Linked DNA regions of Alligator mississippiensis. The protein of the gene in region 2 purifies or fractionates together with the protein of the main gene of each other region. This does not show direct contact. Links are inferred from orthologs where the notes say so. Each region holds a gene or a part of one and is shown on either strand. Other genes may lie near its edges.

Region 1 (10,781 bases), on a different chromosome or scaffold from region 2:
GCCAGAGATCCTCAGGGCACAGGTGCCCAACGCCGAGCCCCCAGCCGAGGCCAAGACATGCTCTGGGGCCGAGGAGCTCCCCGGCTGTAGCCAGCCTCCAGCCCTGGCCTCATCCCAGCCCCGTGGTAGCATGCCCAGCTTCCTGCCCCTGCGGCTGCTGCGCAGAAGCAGCATCTTCCCCGAGGACCATGTCCCCAGGATCAAGCTGACCAAGCCACCCGCCCCGCCAGCCTCCGCGGAGGAGCAGCCGGAGGAGTCGCAGGACAGGAACACGCTGCGGCTGCCCAAATGGAGGTACAAGGAGCTGCGGGAAAAGAGGAGAGCAGCCAAGGAGTTAGAGGAGGGAAGCTGAGGGATGGGGACACGGGGAGCCCTGGACAAAGGCCTAAGATGTGTCCATTCTGGCCACCCCATGGATGCACTGGGAGCATGGCTAGGGTTGGGCAAGGATACAGGGCTCCTGCCCAACCCTAGCACTTTGCTTTCCCTGCTTCGACATTAGACCCCCTGCCCCGAAAGGCTGCTGAAGGCTCAGCAGCACAGTGCCCGGCCCCTACATGTCCTGCCACCCCAGGCATATCTGGGGTGGCATATCTGGTGCCCAGAGAGTGGACTGGCCACGATGGCACGGAGGGGTCTATGGGCCTTGGGCACTTCAGTGCCCAGCCTGCTGCATCCTGGCCTCAGGCCTCTGCAGGGCTCCCTTGGGCTGCAGGAGGTGAAGGAAACGGACCCATCCCATGGGGTGACCTCCGTCTCTGTCCCGTGTCACCAGCATCTCGCCCTCGCAGCGCAGTCGTGGGGCGCGGCAGGTCCATTAAACGCGGAGTGGTTGCCGTGTTAAGAGCTTTATTACGACCTGAGCCTCAAGGCTGGTGATGCGGCGGCTAACAGTGCTTTGTCCTTTTTCCGGGCATCTCCCCCAGGAGAGCGCAGTGCCTTGGGGACGTGACTTCCCAGCTGCGGTTGATGCCCCTGGCACAACTGGGGACAGGCCCCAGGTCCTGCTGGTCCTCCACGGGAGAGTGGACACAGCCCTGAAGCTGCAGCGGGCCGTTCCCCTTCCATCACCCCCTCGAGCGTTCCTACTCCCACTGCCCCATCCTACCGCTCCCGCCCTCCCCCAAGAGCTGAAGTGTGCCCCCAGGAGCCCCGACACCCAGCCCCTGCCCACCCTCCCCAGACACTGACCGATGCTTCAGAGGGAAGCGAAATGCAGCTCCTGCAACACATGTGGTCACTGCTGCATCGGGGGGCGGGGGGGTGGGGATTTCTTCCTGACCCCTGAAGCATGAGCTTGGACTACAGCCAGCGTCGCAGCACACACCTGCACGTGCACGTGGGCTGACGCCACTGCAGGAAATCCTGTCCCCTGAGCTTGGGAAGGAAGAGGAGAGACGGGGATTCCTGAGCCCCGAGGGGCCACCACAACCGGCCAGCCTGAGGCTGGATTCAAGTGCATCTTATAGGAAGATGCATCCTCTCCTTCAAGGCCTCCTAGCTGTGGGATGCCCCTCTCCCTCCCTGGCTCCAGAGACCCGTCAGGCCATTCTGTGCATGTTCCTGGCCCCGCAGGAGCTGACAGGTTGGGTTGCTTCCGCATCCATGACCCAGACCCACTCCTGTCCCTGGACCCCACAGCCCAAGGAGGTGGGCAAGCCATGCTTGCAGGGCACTCACTGTGCCCCTTGGGCCAGGGCCAAGACATGGGGCCAGCTCCTGCTGTGGGGCTGCAAGAGGAGGGGACATGTCTGGGCACAGTCCCCCATGAGCAGTGCCCTGCAGCCACAGGATAGGAATGCCATGTGGGTTACCCCAGCCAGCCCAGGGGCATGGGGAGGGCAGGCCTGGCCACAGGTGGAGAGGAGAGGATCCCCCCAGCTGCAGTAGCCCCCAACAGCTCAATGCAAATGAACCAGCCACCACCATCCAAGCCAGAGGCAGCAGAGCAGAGGAGATTCAGCGAGCCCTAGACAGATACCCCACGGCCCCCCGCTGCGGAGAAGAGGGACGGTTCCTGCCCCGGGAAACCTGTGGTCAGTCACACTCACTGCCCAGAACTGCAGACCTCCCCTCCCCACCAGCACAGACGGAGCAGGGACAGCCCCAGCCACATCAGCCATGCCAAGTCACGTGGCAGCTCCGTGCACAACACAACCCAGGAGTCCCGACCCTGTGCCCCACGTGCAATGCCCTGTGCCCACGGGATGCGATGCTCTCACTGTTGCTCTGGGAACATCCCGGGCTCCTCGACTCCCTGCCATAACCACCCAGCACCCTGCTCCCCACCCCGGGTGCTGGAGCCTGGCAGGCCTGCTGGCACAGTCCCTGGCAGCGCTGCAGGCTGTGCCGAGATGGCGTCTCACTGCCGGCTCCAACACGCCTTGCCTCACCTGCCAGGCTGCGTTCACAACATGTTTGAGCTGTCCACACACCTGTCGGCCCGGCAGCTGGAGCCACTTGAGGCCTTTCCAGGTGATGCAGACAGGCTGCAAAGCTCCTTCTGCTCAAGGTGACACCGGGGCTGCGGCCAGCAGGGAAGCCCTGCGGCCCAGGAAAGCCGGGCTGCTGCATCCCCCGGCCAAGCAAATAAGGAATGAAGTCCCAGAGCCCTTTGATCTCCATGGCCGGAGGAGAGGTAGACATGGGAGAAGAGGGGCAGTGCCCCGAGCCCACCCACAGTTTGCCCCCCATGCTTTGGAGGCAGGCATTGACTGCTGTCACTGCTGGCTCCTGTCATGGGGGGCACTGCCCCCCAGGCCCATTGTTGCCTGCGTGGACACTTTGCAGGTCCCCGGTCACAGCGCCTGGCTCAGCTTGGAGCCAGTGAGGCCAGGCCAGCATCCAGACACAGGGAGGGGGGCTGGCGCTCAGTAGGGGACTCAGCCTGGTCTGGCGCTGCAGGGAGGGGTGGCCGAATTCAGGAGCCTGGTGGCCTGAGGACCACCTCCTGCTGCCCTGGCCCTCAGGCCACCCAAGATGCCTGTGGCCAATTCACAGGGGTGTCCGGGGCTTTGTGCAAGGCACAGGGTGCCCAGGGGAAGGTGCTTCTGCATGCCCCCGGCCAGCCCATCGCTTCTCATTTCCTCCACGCATGGCTTGCTGCTGGTGCCAGCTCGCCGGCTCGGCACACATCTGAACTGGGGGCGGGCAGCACATGGAGCAGGGGAGCCGGCGCTCCGCACATGCAGTGCCAGGCGCGTTCCAACGGTGGGGGCGGGGGAGCAAGGCGCCGGCGGGAACAGGCTGCTTGGGGGCTGGGGGATCCGTTTTGCCCCGATTCTAGCTGCCCCCGACTTCTTTCAAGCCTCGCAGTCTCTCCAGCAGTCACCGCTAAGCACTCAGGAGGGGCTGTTTCTGGAAGAAGACCAATGTCCCTGTCCTAGGGAGGCTACTGCAGATGCCCTGTGCTTTCCCCATGGCGTTTTTGCACCCCACAGCGGTGGTGGGCATCTCCTGAGGTCAGCCTCGGCAGGGTGGAGGTACCTGGACTTTGCTGCTGGGCCCAGCCTGGCTGCTCACAGGTCTGAGCAGGGACCCCAAGAGCCAAACCCCGGGGCTCGGGTTGCACCCCTGAACGTAATCGCAAGGGATTGAAAGCAGCAGGTTGAAAGCGAGGCCTTGTTCTGCTGCCAGTGAACTAAGCAACCCCCTTCTGCGACTTGGTGTCCCCATGGTCCAGTGGAGGTCATGAGGAGTCACAGTGGGGTGTCTGGGAGATGCCCTGGGTGCATTGGCCCCCCTGGCTAGTTTTGTCCTTTCTGTGAAGTCCGGACCTTGCCGGCTCCCTCCCTACGTGCCGACTTCCCATTGGGAACTGCACGCCAGACGGGGGGTGGAGCGGGTTTGGGGTCAATGCTTAGCTCGACAGTCTGCTTAACTCTCTCACCCCACATTTATTCCCAGGCAACCCTGCTGCACAGAAATCAGTGTACGCCAGTCCTCAAAACACAGCCCACACAGGGCAACTCACAGTCCCGAGGCCTCTGCCCTGACCCCGAGAACCAGCTGCTGGCTTCGTGCTGCTCCCCCAGTGCCGCCGCGCAGTTTTCCTTCTCTCTCCTGGGCGAATTCCCTCTCCCGGCCTCGTGGTGCTGCTGCCTCCAGGTCTTTTGCCAGACCCTGGGAGAGTCCTTGGCTCAGTTCTGCCCTCGCTAACCAAACCCCCTCCCCTTCTTTCAGCCTCCACCCCCAGCTCCTCTCCCTAGGAGCCCTCCTATGGCCACCTAATCATCCTCTGCAGCTGGCCCAGGGCTCCCAGGCAGCCTGCAGTCACTCCTGACTGCCTGCCGCTGGCCATAGTCCCTGCAAGCCTGCAGCCTGGTGGAGGATACTTGCCGATGGTCGGGCCATGTAAGACTTTTGGCTGATTCCAAGGATTTGGAACTCGTTTGACCTGGTGCACAAAAAAATGTCCAAAAAAAAAAGCCTGCCGACTCCTCCAGCCTGGGGGCTCCTTGGGAAAAGTCTTCTTTCTGCTTAGCCCTCCAATCAAGAACAGGGAAATCCCCGCCCCCAGCCCGTCCTTGTTAAAAAATAGAGCAGCGGGACGAACAGAAGAGCCGACATCCTCTCTCTGCTCTGGCCGCGTGTGTGGGAGGAGGGTCAGCTGCAGCATGTGGCTGGGGAGGAAGGAGGTGCTGGCTCTGGGTAGAGACTGGCCTGCTGCGAGGCAACATTTGGGCAGTCGCAGCCTTTCCACCCCGCTCCCTTCGGGCCTGCTGGCCCCAAGCCTGCCGCTGTAGCTGGGCGAACGCTCTTGGTCATCTCCGCGCCCCTAAGCCAGTGATTCTCAACCGGGCTTCACAGCCTGCTGGGCGCTGTGAGATCCTTTCAAGGGTGCCCAGAGGAATCCTGAGCTCTCAAACCCTTCAGTCCTGTTGGGGCCTTTCTAGGTCTTTGCAGCAAAAGAGTGGTTTTGTTCTTTGTCTGTAGCCTAAACAGGAGCGGAAGCTCGGACCTGGCGTTTTCTGACGGGGCCTCGAGTCTAACGAGGTTGAAAGCCACGGCCCTAAGCCAAGGCCACATGCCCGGTCCCTTGCACGGGCTCCTGTGACACGTGAGCTGTCCAGAAATGGCAGTGGGAGGGTGGCCCGGTGTCAGACAGTCGGGACTGGAGCAGAGATGGTGAGAGCGATAACGTGTCTGCGAGGGCGGGCGCAGACTTCCTCCCCTGGCGGCATGGCAGCCGGTCCTTCCCTAATCAGATTGAAGCTGCCCGTTTCCCATCCCACAGAGCCATGAGATTCCTACCCCTGCTGCCCCACCCTTGAACCTGCCGTTGGCCGGAAATCTCCCGGTTGCTAAAATATACAAGCATCTTTCACGGACAAGGCTTGCATGGAGCCATTGGTGGTGCTTCCTGTTGTTCGCTTTTTAAGTCTAAGTCTGAAGCAATCCGCAAGAGAGAGGAGAAGTGCGGGGCCGGCCGTGCTGTGCCAGGGCTCCGGTGAGAAGGGGGCATTTGCCCGTGGGAGAGTCCAGACTCCCGGGCTCTGTTCCCTGCTCTGTTTGGGAGGGCTGGGTAGTAGCTACAGCAGATGATGGTGGGGGCAGACTGCTGGCTTCCCTTCCTAGCCCTAGGGATGGCTGAGGGGTAATGCATCAAGGAGAGGGGTCCAGGACTTGAGGGTAAATGGTTGCACCTCGCGCTGCGCGGGGAGGGTCCAGGCAGCATCAAGGCTTGGGCTGCTCTTCGAAGCGTGACTTAGTGCGCACGTGGGGCTCGTCCTAGTGACCTCATTCCCCCGCACAGCGTGATGCCCACTTTGCTGTTGCCGCCCTCTTTACCCTGCTGCTGGGGGCTAGGGGCCAGGGAGGTACAGCCGGGATGGCTGAAGCCAGGACCGGGGCTCTCGAGTGCGAGCAAGGAAGAGGAACAGGAGGCCAAGATGGGGAAGACACCAATTGACCCACAATCGTGACTCAAACATGGAAAGGGGAAGCGGCGTCTCCGGGCCCAGGCAGCCCCTGTCCGCGGTTCCCAGGCCGCAGCTCCGCCACAAAGCCCACGGCACATCTGGGGGGAGGCGGGGAGTGCTTCCTTCCTCCGAGAGGACACTGGGTTTAATACCCGGACTCTGGCAAAGGTGGTGCTGGGGCTGGCGAGGGGCACGGAGTGTGACGGACCTACCCAGCCCTCTTGGCACCCACGTAGGACCCTTGCAGTCCACGGCACAGGAGCAAGGCCATGCCGGGGCACTGTAGAGCCTCTGCCCCACTGCTGAAGCTCAGCACATCCCATTGCACCCCGGGGCCCTGGGAGCGTGGCTCTGCATCATCCCCTGCAGCATGGGGCCCCTCAGTGCTGCAAGCCCAGGAGCCAGCGCGGGTGCAAGAGGGGAGGGCGGTTTGTCTCTGCCAAAGCCATAGTCCCCTGCGCCCCATCTGCTCCTTCAAGAGACTGGATGTGCTTGCCTTTGTCCAAGTGGCTGGTCTGGGTCTGAAAATGAAGCAAGGGAAATCCACCCGCCCATCCCATGCCAAGCCTATGGCAGGACAGGGAGGGAGGCCCAGGAAGCCGGGGCATAGTCAGGATGGAGTTGGGGCCCGGTGTGTGCGGGAGGAAGGCAGCCTGGACGGGATCTGTGCTCAGCAATAGGAAATGCTTTATTAGCTGGGAGTGGTGGAGACAAGCCAGGCAGGAAGAGGCAGTAATAAGAAACATTTTTTGACTTCTCCCACATCCAGGGCTCAGAGAGCTTGCCAAGCAGCCGCGCTCGGACACGGGGACGGAGGCCGGACCCCCTGGGGCTGGGAAAGGCAGTCCAGGCGCACCACCCCACTCCCCAGCTGCGGCTGGCGGGACACCAAAGCCAGCCCGCTACCCTGCCCTGCCCGCTTCCCGTCTGCAACGCCAGGAGGGGACAAGGAGGAAGGGGGCTGCCCCATGACGCTGCTTCAGGTCGGAGCTCATAGCGCAGGGGAGAGCGGCCCGGGGTGAGCCCAGTGAATGTCCCGGGCGCTGCTACCGGCGGAGGCTCGCGTTTGGGAAGAGTCGCCAGCCCCATCGGCCGCAGAGGCGGGCAGAGCCCCCAGAGCTGGGGGTCCCTGCAGCACCCCTGCCCCAGACAGTGCCATCCAGGAGAGGGAAGACCACCTGCAGGTGAGTGTGAATGCGCCGCACACTGGGTTTTGAGGCGGGTGCGAGGCTGCTGCCCCAGAGCGAAAACTCAGATCCAGACGGGCCAGATCAGGGTTGGCATCCCTGAAGCTCCCTGGTGTCCACCAGTGAGGCCCGGGCCTGCATTTGCTCCCCACAGCCTCCATCACTCCCTGGGTCGCACGCTACCCAGTGCTGTTTCATGGCATCCCCTAGGGCTTTCATTACCGAGGTGCCCCTCACATCCACCCCAAGGGAGGAACCGCATGGAGATCCCCTGGGCTTGCTCATGTGTGACATATGTGCATAACTCCGTCCTCAGCTCCAGAGCAGCCGCCAGCAGTGCTGGAATTGCTTCTGGCCGCTGGGGCCAGGCTCTGGTCCTCGCTCCAGCAAAGTCGGCGGGACGTCTCCGGGTTTGCACTGGTGCAGCACAGCTCAGACTCGGACCCCGCTCCCTCATTAAGGAGGTGAGATCATATCTAACAACGTTAGATATCAGCTACGCTGCTGGCAGGCTGGGGGGGCAGCGAATGTTGTGGGGATGTTGTGAAAAGCTGCAGGAGAAAGGTAGGGAATGATGGACCGGGACCGGGTGAAGTCACTGAAAGAGGAAAATGATGAAGGACATAGAAATTCATATGGCATAGCATGGCATGGCGTGGCATAGCATGGCATGGTATAGTATGGCATAGTCTTGGTGTGGGACAGAAAAGCCTGAAGCTCCTTGTGCCTTTCCGAGTGACTCCACAGACTGAGTCAGCGCGGGACAAAAGCCTTTGCGGCAGCTGCAGATCCTGCTACGGGGCAGAGGGGGGCAGGATGGGATCCAGAGGCATTGCCCAGTCCTGGGGCCCCCGGGCTGGGGTACATGGCTTGGTCCTGGCCCTCTGGCCACAGAGCAGAGGCGGCTGTGAGTGCAGGAGCTCGGAGATGCCATGGAGGCAGCTCTCGAGAAGCCATTTGCTTCTGTTTGCAAAGAGCTTGCAGGGTGCTGAGCCCCATCCAAGAGCCGGCTCGGAGAAGTCTCCCCTGCTCTCGTCCAGGCTCAGAGAAAATCAGTATTTCCCAGAAAGACTGAAAACAAGGCAATGGGTGGGAAGAGGCCGCTCGACCCCTTCTTCTTTAGCCGGCAAACCTGTTCACCCTCCTCTCTGAGCGTGCCCGTCTTGCAGGAGGACACAGAGCCTGGGAGCACACAGCTCTGCCCTGCTGGTCCCCTCCCAGCCCTCCCAGGAAGGTCCCCACAGGGCGCAATAAGCCACCGTCGGAGACTCAGGTTAGGAACAGAAGTCCAGCCTGATCGGATCGGGCCCTGACCCCAGGCACTAAGTTGTCTCCTGCTCAGGAGCACGGCTTGCCCTGGACGGGACCCCTGCAGGGCAGGAACGTCCAGAGGAAGATGATGTCTCTGCTTCACGGGATCCCCTAATGCAGCTCCAGAGCCCGCTGTGGTCCACAGAAAAGCCCCTAGGGATCTGGGAGGATTTTTGATCGAGTCCATAGAGCCTGGGATCTGATTGTGGAGGGCCTGAGCAGGACTGGGGCCACTCAGCACCCCTGGAAACAACCCTGGAGCCACGGCGCGGAACCTTCTCAGATCAGTCGTCTCTTCCCCCTGCAGCAACCCCAGGGCGCCACCATGCACGCCCACGCGGCCGGCATTGCTTGCGGGGGGGCTTCGTGGCCACTGACTCCAAGGGAAAAATAATAGGGAACTGGGTCATGGGAGCTGCATCCTGGCTCCAAAAACACAGAAGTAACCAGAACCGCAAATGGCAGAGGAAGTGCTGGGCTTGTGACCCAGAGAGTGGCAGGGGGAGGAGGGGAGCTGAACATCCCTCTCCCGCCCAGGGCAGGGGGTGAGACGATCCCTGCGGGTCAGGGCTGGGCAGTGGAGTGCGAGCGCGGTGGAGAAGGGGTTTCCGTCCCCTGGGCCTTCCCTCGGACACCGGTCCCCAGCACAGCCCCTCGCAGACAGGTGACGTTTGGGTTGCCCAAAGGTGCGGCAAGGTCTGGGGGAGACAGCGAGCAGGGACGGGAGGTCAAGAAGAGGCAGCGAAAGGGCTGCCAGCCTCCCCGGCCCTGTCTCCTTGCAGGCTTGGAGCACAGCTGCCCTCGGCCAGCACCGAGCGCACCTTGGTTTTAAAAGGAGCTCTAATGAAGCACAGTTCATCTGTGCGCCTCATATAAGCATCTTCCATGGAGAGCGCTGCATTGCCCTGCCTTATTATGTGATTATACAGGGCACCTTAACATAACACCTACATGCTTAGCACACTGTTGCACTATAAATAATAGCTGCGGCACATGGGTGGAAGAGATGGAATTAAGGTTGCTCTGGAAACCTTATCTCCGATTATCTTCACCCAGATTCTCAGCCCTGTAAACCAGTAGAGCTGCCTTGGCTTCAAAGGAGCTCGAACAGTTGGGGAGAACCGGAGAAGCTGGTCCCTTGATTTATTTATTCAAGGTTCAAGGAGTCCCAGACAAGGAAATGTCACCCCTTTTGGCCCAGGCGGTTAGTGCGTGAGGCTTGGCGGGGCAGTTTCTGCGAAGGAGAAGCTGATGGCATGAGTCACATATGCTTTAGTGCTGTCCTGTGTGTTTGCCCAGCACCGGACGGGGCAGGACGGAGCAGCAGTGGGGCAGGTCCCTGCACTGGAGCATCCCAGCCTGCTTTTCCAGCTGGCCCTGTGCCCAAAGGAGCCCCGTCCCCCTGCTCCTTTGTGGGGTCAGGGTGGCATCCGCACCGGAGATGGTCCCTGCCGTTACTCACAGGGAAATCCCTCCGATTCCCCCGGGGAGTGCTCTCGCTCAGACCTCCCCATGCAGAGCAGTGCCTTGGGCGGTGGCTTCTCTTCTTCCCTGCCATCACCACATAAAAGAGGTTTAACTGGCTCTTCCTGAAGGTGGTTTCCATTCCCCCTGCTTCCAGGGGTCTTTCTAGCCCTTGCAACTGCAGAGAAAAGCTGGACGACGTGAGCCAAGAGTGCAGAAGGCGGAAGGAAGAGAACGTCCATCTGCTTTTAAATGCACATGCTTCTCAAACCCGTCTCATGCTATTTGGGAGCCTGGCTCAGGACCCTTAGGTGTTTGGGGCGAGCAGTGCAGATCATTGGCAGCCTGCTTATCTGCCCCTAGAAATACAGGAGATGCTAGAGGCATCGCTGGAGCCAGCAGGGAAAGAGGCTGCGAGCCCGTGGCAAGGTGTGGGGTATCGGAGACACTGACTCCATGCAAAAGGAGGATCCCTCCTGCACGGGAAGTGAAAGCCTCCATTTCTGGAGCCCCAGAAGAGAGTGAATCCTCAGCTTTTCCCAGGCCGCCTCTGACCGCTGCAGACAGCGTCTCCGGCTGATACAAACCAGAGGACGCAGCCGGGTTGTGAAACGACGGGGTCACGGGGCTGCTCGTGGCAGGCCTCGGGGCCCTCGAGCAGTTACAACATCCAGGCTGGGGGGCCGAAAGATCCCGGGAGCTGCCAGGAGGGTGAGGGGGGGAACGGGACAGGGGGAAGAAGTGGAGGAAAGGACAGGAGGAGAGAGGGGCTCCTGGTCCCAAAGGGCTGGGGGCAGGGCTGAGCGAGCCAGCTGTGCTCTCACCTCCGCTTAGGGAGCAGTGGCACGCCACCCCCTTGCTCACCCCCCCAAAGGGATGCTTTCCTGCCGACCCCCTG
Region 2 (11,151 bases):
AAACCGGAGTTCCTCAGTACGGACATGCCCATATTGGCTTCCTTCTCTTGTAACCAGACCTCCCTTTCCTAAATCCCACCCCCACCTTGAGCAATCCTATATGTGCATTACACCCACTGGTCTTGTCTTCCCTCTGCCATTAATTAGCATCGTGCACCGTACTGCTGCCAATTTACTGGAATTGTTTTCTAGCTAACAGAAATATATAAGTGGAATTGAAAGCAGCTGAGTTGACACAGTTTCTTCTCACAGCAGATGGGACTAGATACCCTAATGGTCCCTTTCCCCCTTATATATATAATTTTGTGTCTTAGGCCAAATTAGTTGCAAATTCTATCAACTGAGCAGAGCGCAGTTGTTCAAGTCTGTGTTGCACTACCACTGGCAAGTATCCTACCTCTCAGACTCGTCAGCCTGGGACTTCAGATGCTCCCAAATCCATGGTGGGCATCCTATGTGCAAACTCCAAGCCCAGAGGCCCTGGAGTTCAGATAGCCCCTAGTCTTGCTTGCCTCTAGCCAAAAGGCCATAGGCCATAGTGCTGGGCTCACCTTCCTGTGAGCTGCCCTCTGTCTCCAAGGCTTGAAATATCTACTCATCTCTGGGCCATGGTGATTCTCGCACCTAGGGACTGGTGTCTGGCCTTGGATAGTTGCCATTTTTGAACTGGTATGAACAAGGAGTCCACAGATACTCCTACATCTGTGTAACTTGCCCCAAGTCCAGGATAGCATTACCAGGGGAAGAACGAGAAGTCAGCCTATACTGGTGTGACTTACATCTTCCATCCCAGGGTAGCCATTTGCTCAGTGCAAGCGGGCTATGGCCTGCTCCCTACCCAGGTGCAGTGAGGTACTGTAATGGTGCATACTGGGAACAGCTACACTTGAATATCTACCTTGTATGTCTCCTCTAGACCCCATAATCAATACAGGTATACAAACCCAGTGAAGATTACACAGGTGCAAGCAGGCTGCCTGTTCAGGCTCTCAGACAGCACCGCACGCTGTGTACGCTTGACACGGGACAATGAGAAACACACATACATACACTTGTTGGGCTGGGGCCAACCCCGTAGTAACTTTGACCTAGTGGCCACTGAGCCAGTGCATACAGCTGGACCAATTCTTCAGCGGAGACTCCCTTCCAGTGACACAGGGGTTTCAAAGTGTGGCCTGGCCTGTGTCCTTGGCTATCACGCAGACAGTCAATGGTGGAAATGAACAGGACCATCCTTAGGGATCCACCAGAGACACAGAGGAAACTTGGGGCTTTGAATAAAGACCTTGTGGGTGCAAGTCAGTGATGCTGTACCAGGGACAGATGTGTCTCAGTGCAAGTCTCTAGCTGTGCCCCAATCCCACCTGAAGTATGCTAGCCCACCACATGCGAGGCTTCCAGGAGAGATCCCTTCCACTCAACCCTGCCACGCGGGTGACTAGTGCAGCCCTCTCTCAACAGATCGCACGAGCTCTGGGAATGATCCTGCAGCCCCTGCTGTTTTCACAGCCAATGGTTGCTCTGTGATCCCCAGATCCAGCTAACCGCTTTCCCAGCCCTCCTTACTATGGGCTCACCAACTTCCAGGATTCTGTCACAAGCCCCTCTGATATTTGACAGCATTTTTCTCACAGTCCCAGCTCCTGGAGTCATGTGATTAGAGGAAACTCAGCTTTCCATTCAAGCACCAAGTCTGTAACCCTCTGAAACCTTGCAAACACAACCCCCAAGGCTCAGAAATCAAAAGGAAAATTAAAAACAAAGAGTTTACATTGATTCAATTGACTTGAAATCCCTGTTTTAAAATCTCTGGTGTCTGGGACCAGACTCCTGATCTTCGATCTCTTGGCGTTGGCAATAACTCACTACCCTGACTCAAATTCCACTGCTTGCTCCCGGACCCTGCTGAGAGAGACATTTGCGTGTCTTCAGAGCTCTTCTTTGAGCTGAGCGAGCTGCAGAAATAATGCCCTTGAAGATGTTGCAGTGCCTGTCAAGCTCTTCCTTCCTTCACACTCTCTGGGGCTCATGCATTTCAGAAACCACCCCCAGTAACTATGTTATCTCCACAGCCACTACCACTCCTGGAAACCTGACCTTGGGTCTGAAGCTGCTTCTCCTGCCAAGCCTGCTGTGCTGATCTGTTCAACTCTACCCAAGCAGCGCGATCTCAGAGCATTATAAACTGCAGAGTGGACTCAGATTGCTGCGATGACCATCCCAGCTTTCCACCACGTCCCGCTGCAGCGCTACCCCTGTGGGCTGGATGTGGCCATGTAGGCCAGTCCCTTGGCAAAAGCCATGGTTCATCCCCAGAGCAAGATTTTGGCTCCATCTCTGCTACTTAATTCTCATTCTTCTTGGGAACTAACACCCTCCCCTCAGGGAGATCCTTGCCTGCACATTTCTTTTTGTGCACTCAAATGTTTGCTCCTTCCAATTTTTTGCTCGCCTGTAGTTGCTGGAGACAAGTAAACTCTCCCCCGCACCAGCCCCAATGTTGCTTCACTCTTTGGCCTGCATGTTCACAGGATTTTTACAAGGGTGAAGAAACACAGCTGGGCTGTTCTCCAAGCAGCTTATTTTTCCAGACTAGATGATCCCAGTGAGAGGATTTCTCTTCATTGAGGCTATTTGGCCAAATTCCCTGTTTCTTTACAGTCTCAGGTTTCAAAGCCCGCTAAGTTTGAGGGAGAGATTTCTTTGTTTCCCCTTCTCTCCCCCCCTTCCCCCTCTTCCCCGGCTGCTGCTCTGGGGCTTTAAAAGCCAAAGAGAGGGGGAATGGGGATGACCTGTGGTCCGTACTTCTTTCTGACATATCCAGGCTTCCCCCACTCCCGGCTCCACTTGAAGCTGTTTCCTCAGCAAAACCCCAGCTCACAGCCTTCTGCCTGCAACAGCCGGGGCTCAACTTTACTGAGTAATCAAAATAAAAGCCATTTTGTGCAAAGCCAGACCCTTGGCTGGCTTGAGTCAGCCCGTGCCCATCGCGGGTCACTAGGTTCTGTGGTGAAGCAACACTGACAGCATGGCTGCACAGCTCTCCGGGAGCCAGCAGTAACCCCAGGGCATCCCAGCCTGGGAGGAGTGACCTTGTGGCCAAATGAACCCTTAGCAGCTGCTCCCACTGGCTCTGCACTGTCTGCTCCCAGGGTATTTCCTAAGAGCCGTTTATCTGGAGGTTTGCTGGAAGCCACCAACACCCCACATCCAGCTCCCTCCAGCTTCCATAGGTCTGATCCAAAGTCCATCGAGAGTATGTCCATCAACTTCCATGGATCCTGGATAAGACCCACTGAGCTGGATTCTGGGAGCTGCAGTGCGCCTGTGGTCCCCACTGAAGCCCCTTGCACTTTCCAGGAGGTGCTTAGCTCTTTGCAAGATGCAACTCTGATGACAAAAAGCCACCGGCCTCGCACTGCAGCTCTGCACACTGCCCCCAGCCCTGAGGACCTCGCAACAAATCATTACACAGCACCAACCAACCTCCCAGCCCCAAGCGGCCACAGACTCTCCTCGACCCAGCCCTGGGAGTGCAGCAGGGGGGCACGGCGCAGCTGGTGGAGGCCTAGCGAACCTCGCTGGCAGAGAGCAGAGCTGGGGCTGTGACATGCTTCCACCTCTCTTGTTTCTTCAGAAGCTGGATGGAGCTGGGAACCACCAGCCCAGCATCACTGGCTTCCCCACAGAGAAGGTGAGGAGACCAAACTGGGGGATTCCCACCAGGGGCAGATGCCCCAGCCTTTCTGGGACAGAGCAGGACTCTGGGAAGGAGGAACGCCTGGCTTGACTTGAATTCGTGAGGACTTGCGAAAATGGCCCGGGGAGCTCAGGAGAGCGGTGAGGAGGCCAGCGAGAAGGAAGAGGCAGAAACAAGCCAGAAAGAGACAAAATGAACACCCCCCCCCCCCCCCCACCCCGTGCTGAGCTCAGGAATAGCTGGGGAAGGAAGAGCAACTCACTTGTGTGGGCGCGCAAGCAGCAGAGCAGCAGCGCAGTGAGGCACACGAGAGTCTGCATGGCGTGGGAACGCTGCCTCCTGCTCCGGCGTCGCGTCCTGGCTCCTCTTAGCCCGTGTCCAGAGGCAGCGGCCTGGCCCCAGAGAGCCTCGACGGGCTGCACGACTGCACGATGGGACTGTGGGCAGGCAGGCGGAGGAAGGGGGATCTGCTCCACTCCAGCCTTGGGGGAGTTCCTGAGCTGTCGGTGGCAGAGAAGGAAGCAGGGACCTGGAGGTTGTGGCTGGTTGTGTCCCGGCTTCTCCGCCGAGAGGATGTGCTGGAGGGGAACTCACAGCGCCTGAATGTGCGGCACTGACTCAACCCAGTGCTGATGACCCAAAGCGGCAGGAAATCAACTCCCTTTAGAGGAGGGTCTGCCAAACGCTCGCCTGCCAAAAAGAGGGAGGAAATGCCGTTTGTAGAGGCTCCGAGCCTCTGCTGGAGGTCATGCACTGACAGCAATGGGTGGGGGCTGCGTCCTGAGACCGAAGGAGAGCCGGCCAGGATGCCGGGTGCTCACAGTCCTCCCTCCTCTCCTCAGGAGGGGGCTCCTAGACCATGGGTGGTTCCTGGAGGCGGCTCTGTTCCCCCCCACGGGCCTGCATTTGATTTTCTGCAGCCCAGTGAGCCACATATCATCCCCTGGCATCACTCTATCCTAAAGATCATCTGTAGGGGCCCCAGGGTAGGAGACTATGCATGGAGCTGGGGCTGGGACTGGGGCATGCACCTCAAGGGCTGCAGGAAGTATGTGGACACTGCCTCATCCTGAGGAAGGAACGTGCCTTAGCGGTTGGTGCACAGCACTGGGAGTCCCTGGCTGGCATCTCGGGGACCTTTGGCTAGTCATTGCACCCCTCTGTGCCTCCATTTCCCTCTCTGTAAAATGGGTAGAACTGTCTCCGAAGCCTCCTTTCAGGGAATCTGGAGGGAGGAAGGATACAAGACTTACAGTCAGTAGCCAGTCTTCAGTGCTTTGGATGGCAGGGGACAGAGGGGGGAGAAGTGTCACTCACAGCACCACGGAGGGAAGCCAGGTGGGAACTGCATGTGTGGGAGGCCGAACAGAGACATAAGACCTGAACAACACAGGTCTGACAACACAGGTCTCATACTGCCAAAGGATAAGAAGTACATAGATGGAAGAAACGGTAGATGTCAAGGCATGTAAATGAGGAGATGCTATGCTAGTTTGGACATGTGTTATGTAGTTTCATGGTAGTTTGGGGTCAGAAGGGATCATCTAGTCTGACCCCCCACCGCTGGCAGGAGCACATGCTGGGATCACACAACCCCAGACAGGTGAAGTGAGGTAAACTGTTATGTTTTTAATGTAGAGAGGGGAGGATGTTGATTTTAATGAAAAAAACCCAACCAAACAGGACTCATAGGTCTGACAACACAGAATCTGAAGCACTGCAGCCGCTCAACAGCCCCAGTCAGCCCAGAGAGATCTTGGGGACTATGGTGCTGCGGAGACAAAGCGGGGACAGCATCACGTGGACCTTTATTGCAGGCCTCCCTACATTGCCACCAGGAACATGCACAGACTTCCAGCGTACTCCACCCTGGCCTTCGCCCAGCAGCACCGCAGGTCAGAGGTAGTGGGAGGTGGCTGTTAATCCAGGCACTGTGCAGAAGTCTAAGGGCTGGTTCACACCAAAGTTACAACTGGAGCAAGGAGCCTGTGGCCCTGGCTCGGACGTGGATGGGCTCTTAGCTGTGAGCTGCGACTGGACACAACAGGGGCCTCAATGTGGTTCAGGAGGGTCCCTTCTAGCCTTACGTGTGGAGCCAGTTTGCAGCCAGGTTAGGAGACAAACGTTTCACAGGGGCCTCATTCTCTGGTTACTTGCTATCCAAGGACAGGGCTAAAGACCTGCTGTTGACAGAACAACAGGGACTGCACGGAGCTGGGAGCCAAGGGGCCGCAGCGGCAGAGGGGAACGGGTGATCATTCCCATGGCCACAGCACTTCAGCCCAGGCAGACCAGGCTCCTGGGGCTCAGACAGACCCTTCAGAATCAGAGATGGACCTGCGGAAAAAGGCAGGTCCATCTGGGTTTCTCCCCAGGGTTTGGCTCCTGAATCCAGAGTGCCGTCAAGATAACGGGACAGCACCCGCATGCTGGCAACGTGGAAGGGCTGTGGGTGTTTGGAAAGAGCCCACAGCAGTGTCCAGGACACCATGGAAGAGGGGCTGTTTTGAGATCAGCAACCCATTTGCCTCTCAGCTAGTTACAGGCTGCTCTTGCTCCCTGCTGCTCTCAAGCACCTGGTCCCTCACTCTCCCAGACTGCAGGGCTCCTCTCAGCTGCTCCCCCACAGCCCCCTGGCATCCCAGGTCCCTGATGGGGGAAACAAGTACTGGGAAGAACAAGGGTCGAAGGCAGGCCTCCAAAGCCACTCCTGCTCCATTGCCACCTCAGTGGGAAACGGGGATGCAGAGGACTGTCTTGGTTCCCTTTCTTGCTTGCACTCGGGCACGCATCAGGGCAGTACGTGCCACCCCAGGCTTGGGGGCCAGGTCTCCCATGACTTCAAACAAATGAACAGGTGGCACCAGGGATCAAAGGCAGGAGCAAATGTTTATCCCACTGCTTCTGCATGGCAGCAGCCATTGAATGATGCAGAAGATGTTTAGGTAGCTGTGGGGCAGGAGGAGGTGTCACAAGGATGCCAAGAGCCAAGTGAATGCCTCACACATAGGCTTTGGGTTGGAAGGAGGTGGCCAGAAAGCTACAGCAACAGCCACAGGGTTGGCCAGGCAGATGGCAAGCAACACAGTGCTCATACAGCCAGCAAGGCGCCCAGCAAGAGCTAGGGGGCAAAGAGGCGCAAGAGTCCAGCTCCAAGGGGAGAAGGCGGGGAAGGCCGATCCCCTGCCCTTTCTCACAGGCCCCCCACCAGCACCCTCCAGGGCTTGAATGCCACTGCTGGCGCCTTCCCTTCCAGTCAAATCCTCCCTCTAGAGCACATGCTCTCGGCCAAGCCTCGCCTACAGAGCCCTCCTCCAGCAGACGCCTGGGCTGCATCCAGTCTGGCCCTTCATCCGGTGCCTTACACGTCTGCCTTGGAGCGTGTCTCTCTCCACGCCGCATGCTGGACGAGACGCATTCCTGACTGGTCGGTTCCCATTGACTCCAGGAGATCAAAGAGGAACATGACCTGAAAGGCCTTGCCTCCTGGAATAGCTGTATATACAGCTGGCCCTTTGCATTTCCCCCTCTGTTATCTTTGGCCTGGCCGGGGCTAGAGGCAGAGATCGATGGATTGATCTGTCTTCAAGGTGGGTGGGAAGTGCCCTGCTGACAACCCGCATGTTTGTGGTAACACATTTCTTCCTGGCCAGTCGCCCCAATGGCAGGAAAGAACGAGCCTTAGCCTCTTGGCGTAGGGAGAGGACAACAGGATGGAACGAAGCGTGCGGAGGTCCCGGTGCCATTGTTTGCTGTTCCCCGAGACGTGTAGGCTCAGCCGCGGCCCCTTCAGCCGACAGTTCCTCCCCGCGAGGAGCACGGAAGGTGCAGAGCCTCTGGCAGGACCAGGCTTAATGTCCTGGCAGAGGTGTCTTCAGAGTCAGGGGCAGCCTATCCCCCAGCTCCCAGCCCTGGGCCACATTAGCACATGATTCTTCTCTCTCTCACCTTTTTCTTTTTTGAAATTAAAATTATATATGTATGTGAGAGAGAGAGAGTTATATACACCCCTCCACCCTCCGTTATAAACTTTCCATCACACATCTTAAAACCACATTTAGAAGCCTGCACTTCCCGTTACAACAAACACACCCACTCCCCTGCACACCTACCCTCCACCCTCACCTACCCCAATCACACTCCTATGAAACCCCAAATTGGGGTTTGGGCTATTCTCAGTTCATTCGCTGTCCTTATCGCTGTCACTTCTGCTGCTGCTAATCCTGTTGCAGTCCTTCTTGCTGTCTCCAGGTCCAGCTGCATCTCTGTCCCCTTCGTTCTCTCTGTCCACTTTCCCTCCTGAGGGGTCTTTGAACAACCAGTGCCAGGTGTCGCTTTTCCAGATGAAGTTGGCTGCATCTTCTCCATCCTCACTCACCAATTTCTGGCGGTAGGACTAAAGTTCGCTCAGAAACATTTTAACGCAGTCTGTTTCCTTGAGCTTGGCGTGCCTGTATAACAGGAGGTTCCTGCATTGCCACAGGGCGCCCCTGACACAGGACACAAACTGGTGGAAATGCGTTGTCTGGGACCCCTGCTGCTCAGTCAGGTGTCCGCACATCACCGCCTCCCTTGTCGTCAGCCTGACCCGTCACTCTTGCAAGGAGCTGGCTTCCCTTTTTCCACACACCCTTGGTATACGGGCAGTACCATAGGGACTAATAGCACTGCCCTCCCATTTCACAGGTGGGGATACTGAGGCAGAGAGCACTTAATTGCTTTGCTCAAGGTCACAAAGTCTGTAGCAGGGCAGGAAATTGAACTAGGATGCCCCGAGACCCAGGGTAGCACTATTACCACTGGGCCATCCACTCCTCCCTGCTTAAATGGGCTTGGCCCTTGAAGGGGGAGGAAAGGACTAATTCTCCTCTCCTTCTAATTTTACTCCCATTGAATTCTAGCTTCATTGGAGTTATTCCAGATGACACTAGTGTGCAAGACTTGTGTCTACTCTGTGCAACTGTAAGTCTACCCAGCTCTGCTCCCTCTCATCTCTTCACTTATCCCCTTTCACTGGCTGATGTAACTAATCAGCTCCAGAGCCACCTACTTCAGCACCAGTTACAGCACAAGGGAAGCTGATGGAGTGCTTGCCCCTGGTCAGTAGGTCTGCCTGCAGGCTGGTGCTGCCTCCTGCTGGAGTGGGTCACACAGCAAACTGGGCCACACTGCCCATGGATGCTGCTCAAGTCCAAAGGCAGATAAGATTCTTTGGATAAATCCGATATCTTTTATTAGACCGACTCAAATAGTTTGAAAAATTCTTCTTAGCAAGATTTCAGAGTCTTCCTCAGCCTGACGAAGGGTGTTTATGCCTGAAATCTTGCTAAGAAGAATTTTCCATTTGAGTCGGTCTAGTAAAAGATATTGGATTTAGGCAGACAAGTCTCTTTGGGTATGTCCTTAGACCAACACAGCTATGACCTACACTGCTCAAGTCCAAAGGCACAGAGGACCGGAGGAGCAAGCATAGGTCTAGTCCGTGAGGTCATGAGATCCTGCGGTCTCATCTCAGCTCTACCACTGACTTGCCACGTTCCTCCTGCCCCTGGGAACCTTCTGAAGTGGATGTTAATGAGGTGTCCTGAGAGGGTGGCCAAAAAGTGAAAGCTGCAGTCACATTTAAGGGACTGTTAGTACCCAGACAGCGATGGAGAACAGGTCTGCATACATTTGGCACCACTCTTGTATTTGATATAATCAGTTTTGCCATTTACCTTAATCAGATCCATGCAACCCATGACCTCCTTGGGCCAGAGGGTTTCTCCTACTTGCTGTGTTCCTCTGGCCCTTACTGCTGTGTGCTAAATACACTGGGCTACAGGCATTTCCTTGAGACAAAAGGAATAAGCTGGTGGGTACGGGGATGTCAATGAGTTGAACTGAAACTGCCTCCTACTTGACTTCTCTGCAAAAGCTCCAGTGGAAAGGGATCAGCTGATGTGGAAGTCAGGCCACATAATCCTGAGGGAAAAAAATGTGACTTTTAATGACATCTTGAGCAGCCCAATCATTTAATCAGAGGGGTCAGGTAGAGGCCAGAGGTGGTGTTAATGTCTCTGCATTACACTGTGTTCTTATACTAAACTTTGGGTTCCTGGAGTGTGACGCCAAATATCTATTGCGCAAAGTAGAAGGGATACAAGAAAGGCTCCCACAGGGCAGGGCAGGGCAGGGCAGGGCAGGGCAGGGCACACACACACACAAGATGATCCCCTGTATAAGTGTACACAGCCATGCAATGTCCTATCATACACAAAGTGACCACTTGCCAAAGCACTGGGGCACAAAGTGATGTCAATCAACCTAAAGAGCTTCTACATGACCTACTGAGCCAGGCTGGTATCTTTAAGGGGGCTGAACCCAGTCTCTTACTTTGTCTAAACTACAGAAAACTTAAGTGGCTGAGACCTGACTTCCTTCTAGCTCAGAGGCGGGCAATTATTTCGGGCGGAGGGCTGCTTACTGAGTTTTGGCAAGCCACTGAGGGCCGCATGACAGGCAGCCAGGGGCAGATAAATATTAATTTTCTAAATTTTAAGGGCCCCGTGGGCCAGGTAGAATGGCCCGGCAGGCTGCATTTTGCCCACCCCTGTTCTAGCTCCTTGCATAGACCCAATAGCTGTAGGAAGTACATATGAAACATCTCGATTGGAAAGTGTTTCAGGCTAAGCAGGGTTTCTAATGTCTGATTTCTGGCAATCAGATGCCCAAGTCTACTGTCTGTGCACTCTCTACCAGGCGTGCTGGCAGGCTTGTTCCCATAAGGTCTCCTCATGTCTCGGAGCCTGTATGTTCTAGCCATTTCTTCTAACACTGGTTCCAGGAACCAGTGGGGTTTGTGTTTACAGAGACTCTCTCTGATAACAAGGGTAAAGTGGAAAACAAATCCCCTGGGGTTGCACGCACATAACTTTAACCCTGACATTTAGGCTTTAAAAAACAAAAAACCCTCTCTTCTAGCTATATCAACATCACCCAGTCCCAATGCACTGATCACTTCTGAACACTCTTCTCAAAGTAATAACCAGGCTCTGCTTCAGCACTGAGAGGGGAGATCTATAGACAGGCCAGTTTGGTAAGGCTTTTTGTACATCCACTCCCACCACTGAGGAGTGTTTTTCAGTGTGCCCATTTACAGGGACTGGATGGATAGCCACATCAGTGCCAGGAGAAAACCCAGAGTTAATGCTGACCATGCAGTTTGAAGTGATATAAATGCTCTGGCTACTGTGGATTAGAACAAAACCTTCCCAGGGAGCCCACTAGCCCACATCTGCACACTGCCTCATTCCTTCCACATTTTGCTCTAGCCCAGTGGCTTGCAAGCTTTGTAGATTCACCCCTTGGAAAATGCCAGCTCTGAGTTTTCGCTCAGTTTTTATTATGGAAAACTAGAGCAATTCTTCCGTTGCAAAGAACTCAGACAGACCATAACGGCAGAACATTTT

Evidence for each region.
Region 1: the proteins of ENG (region 2) and ACVRL1 purify together in Homo sapiens (affinity purification with western blotting; 3 studies listed by BioGRID and IntAct, with this or other methods). This does not show direct contact. The link is inferred for Alligator mississippiensis from reciprocal best matches to the Homo sapiens genes ENG and ACVRL1.

Annotation. Positions count from the first base shown.
Region 1 is NC_081838.1:6,392,478-6,403,258, forward strand, and holds the start of ACVRL1 (serine/threonine-protein kinase receptor R3), read left to right. Parts: upstream 1-6,585; 5' UTR 6,586-7,105; intron 7,106-7,424; 5' UTR 7,425-7,572; intron 7,573-10,781. Other genes in the region: ANKRD33 (photoreceptor ankyrin repeat protein), read left to right, coding at 1-352. UniProt on the Homo sapiens protein: Type I receptor for TGF-beta family ligands BMP9/GDF2 and BMP10 and important regulator of normal blood vessel development. On ligand binding, forms a receptor complex consisting of two type II and two type I transmembrane serine/threonine kinases.
Region 2 is NC_081835.1:57,301,560-57,312,710, reverse strand, and holds the start of ENG (endoglin), read right to left. Parts: upstream 4,367-11,151; 5' UTR 4,021-4,366; coding exon 3,963-4,020; intron 1-3,962. UniProt on the Homo sapiens protein: Vascular endothelium glycoprotein that plays an important role in the regulation of angiogenesis. Required for normal structure and integrity of adult vasculature. Regulates the migration of vascular endothelial cells.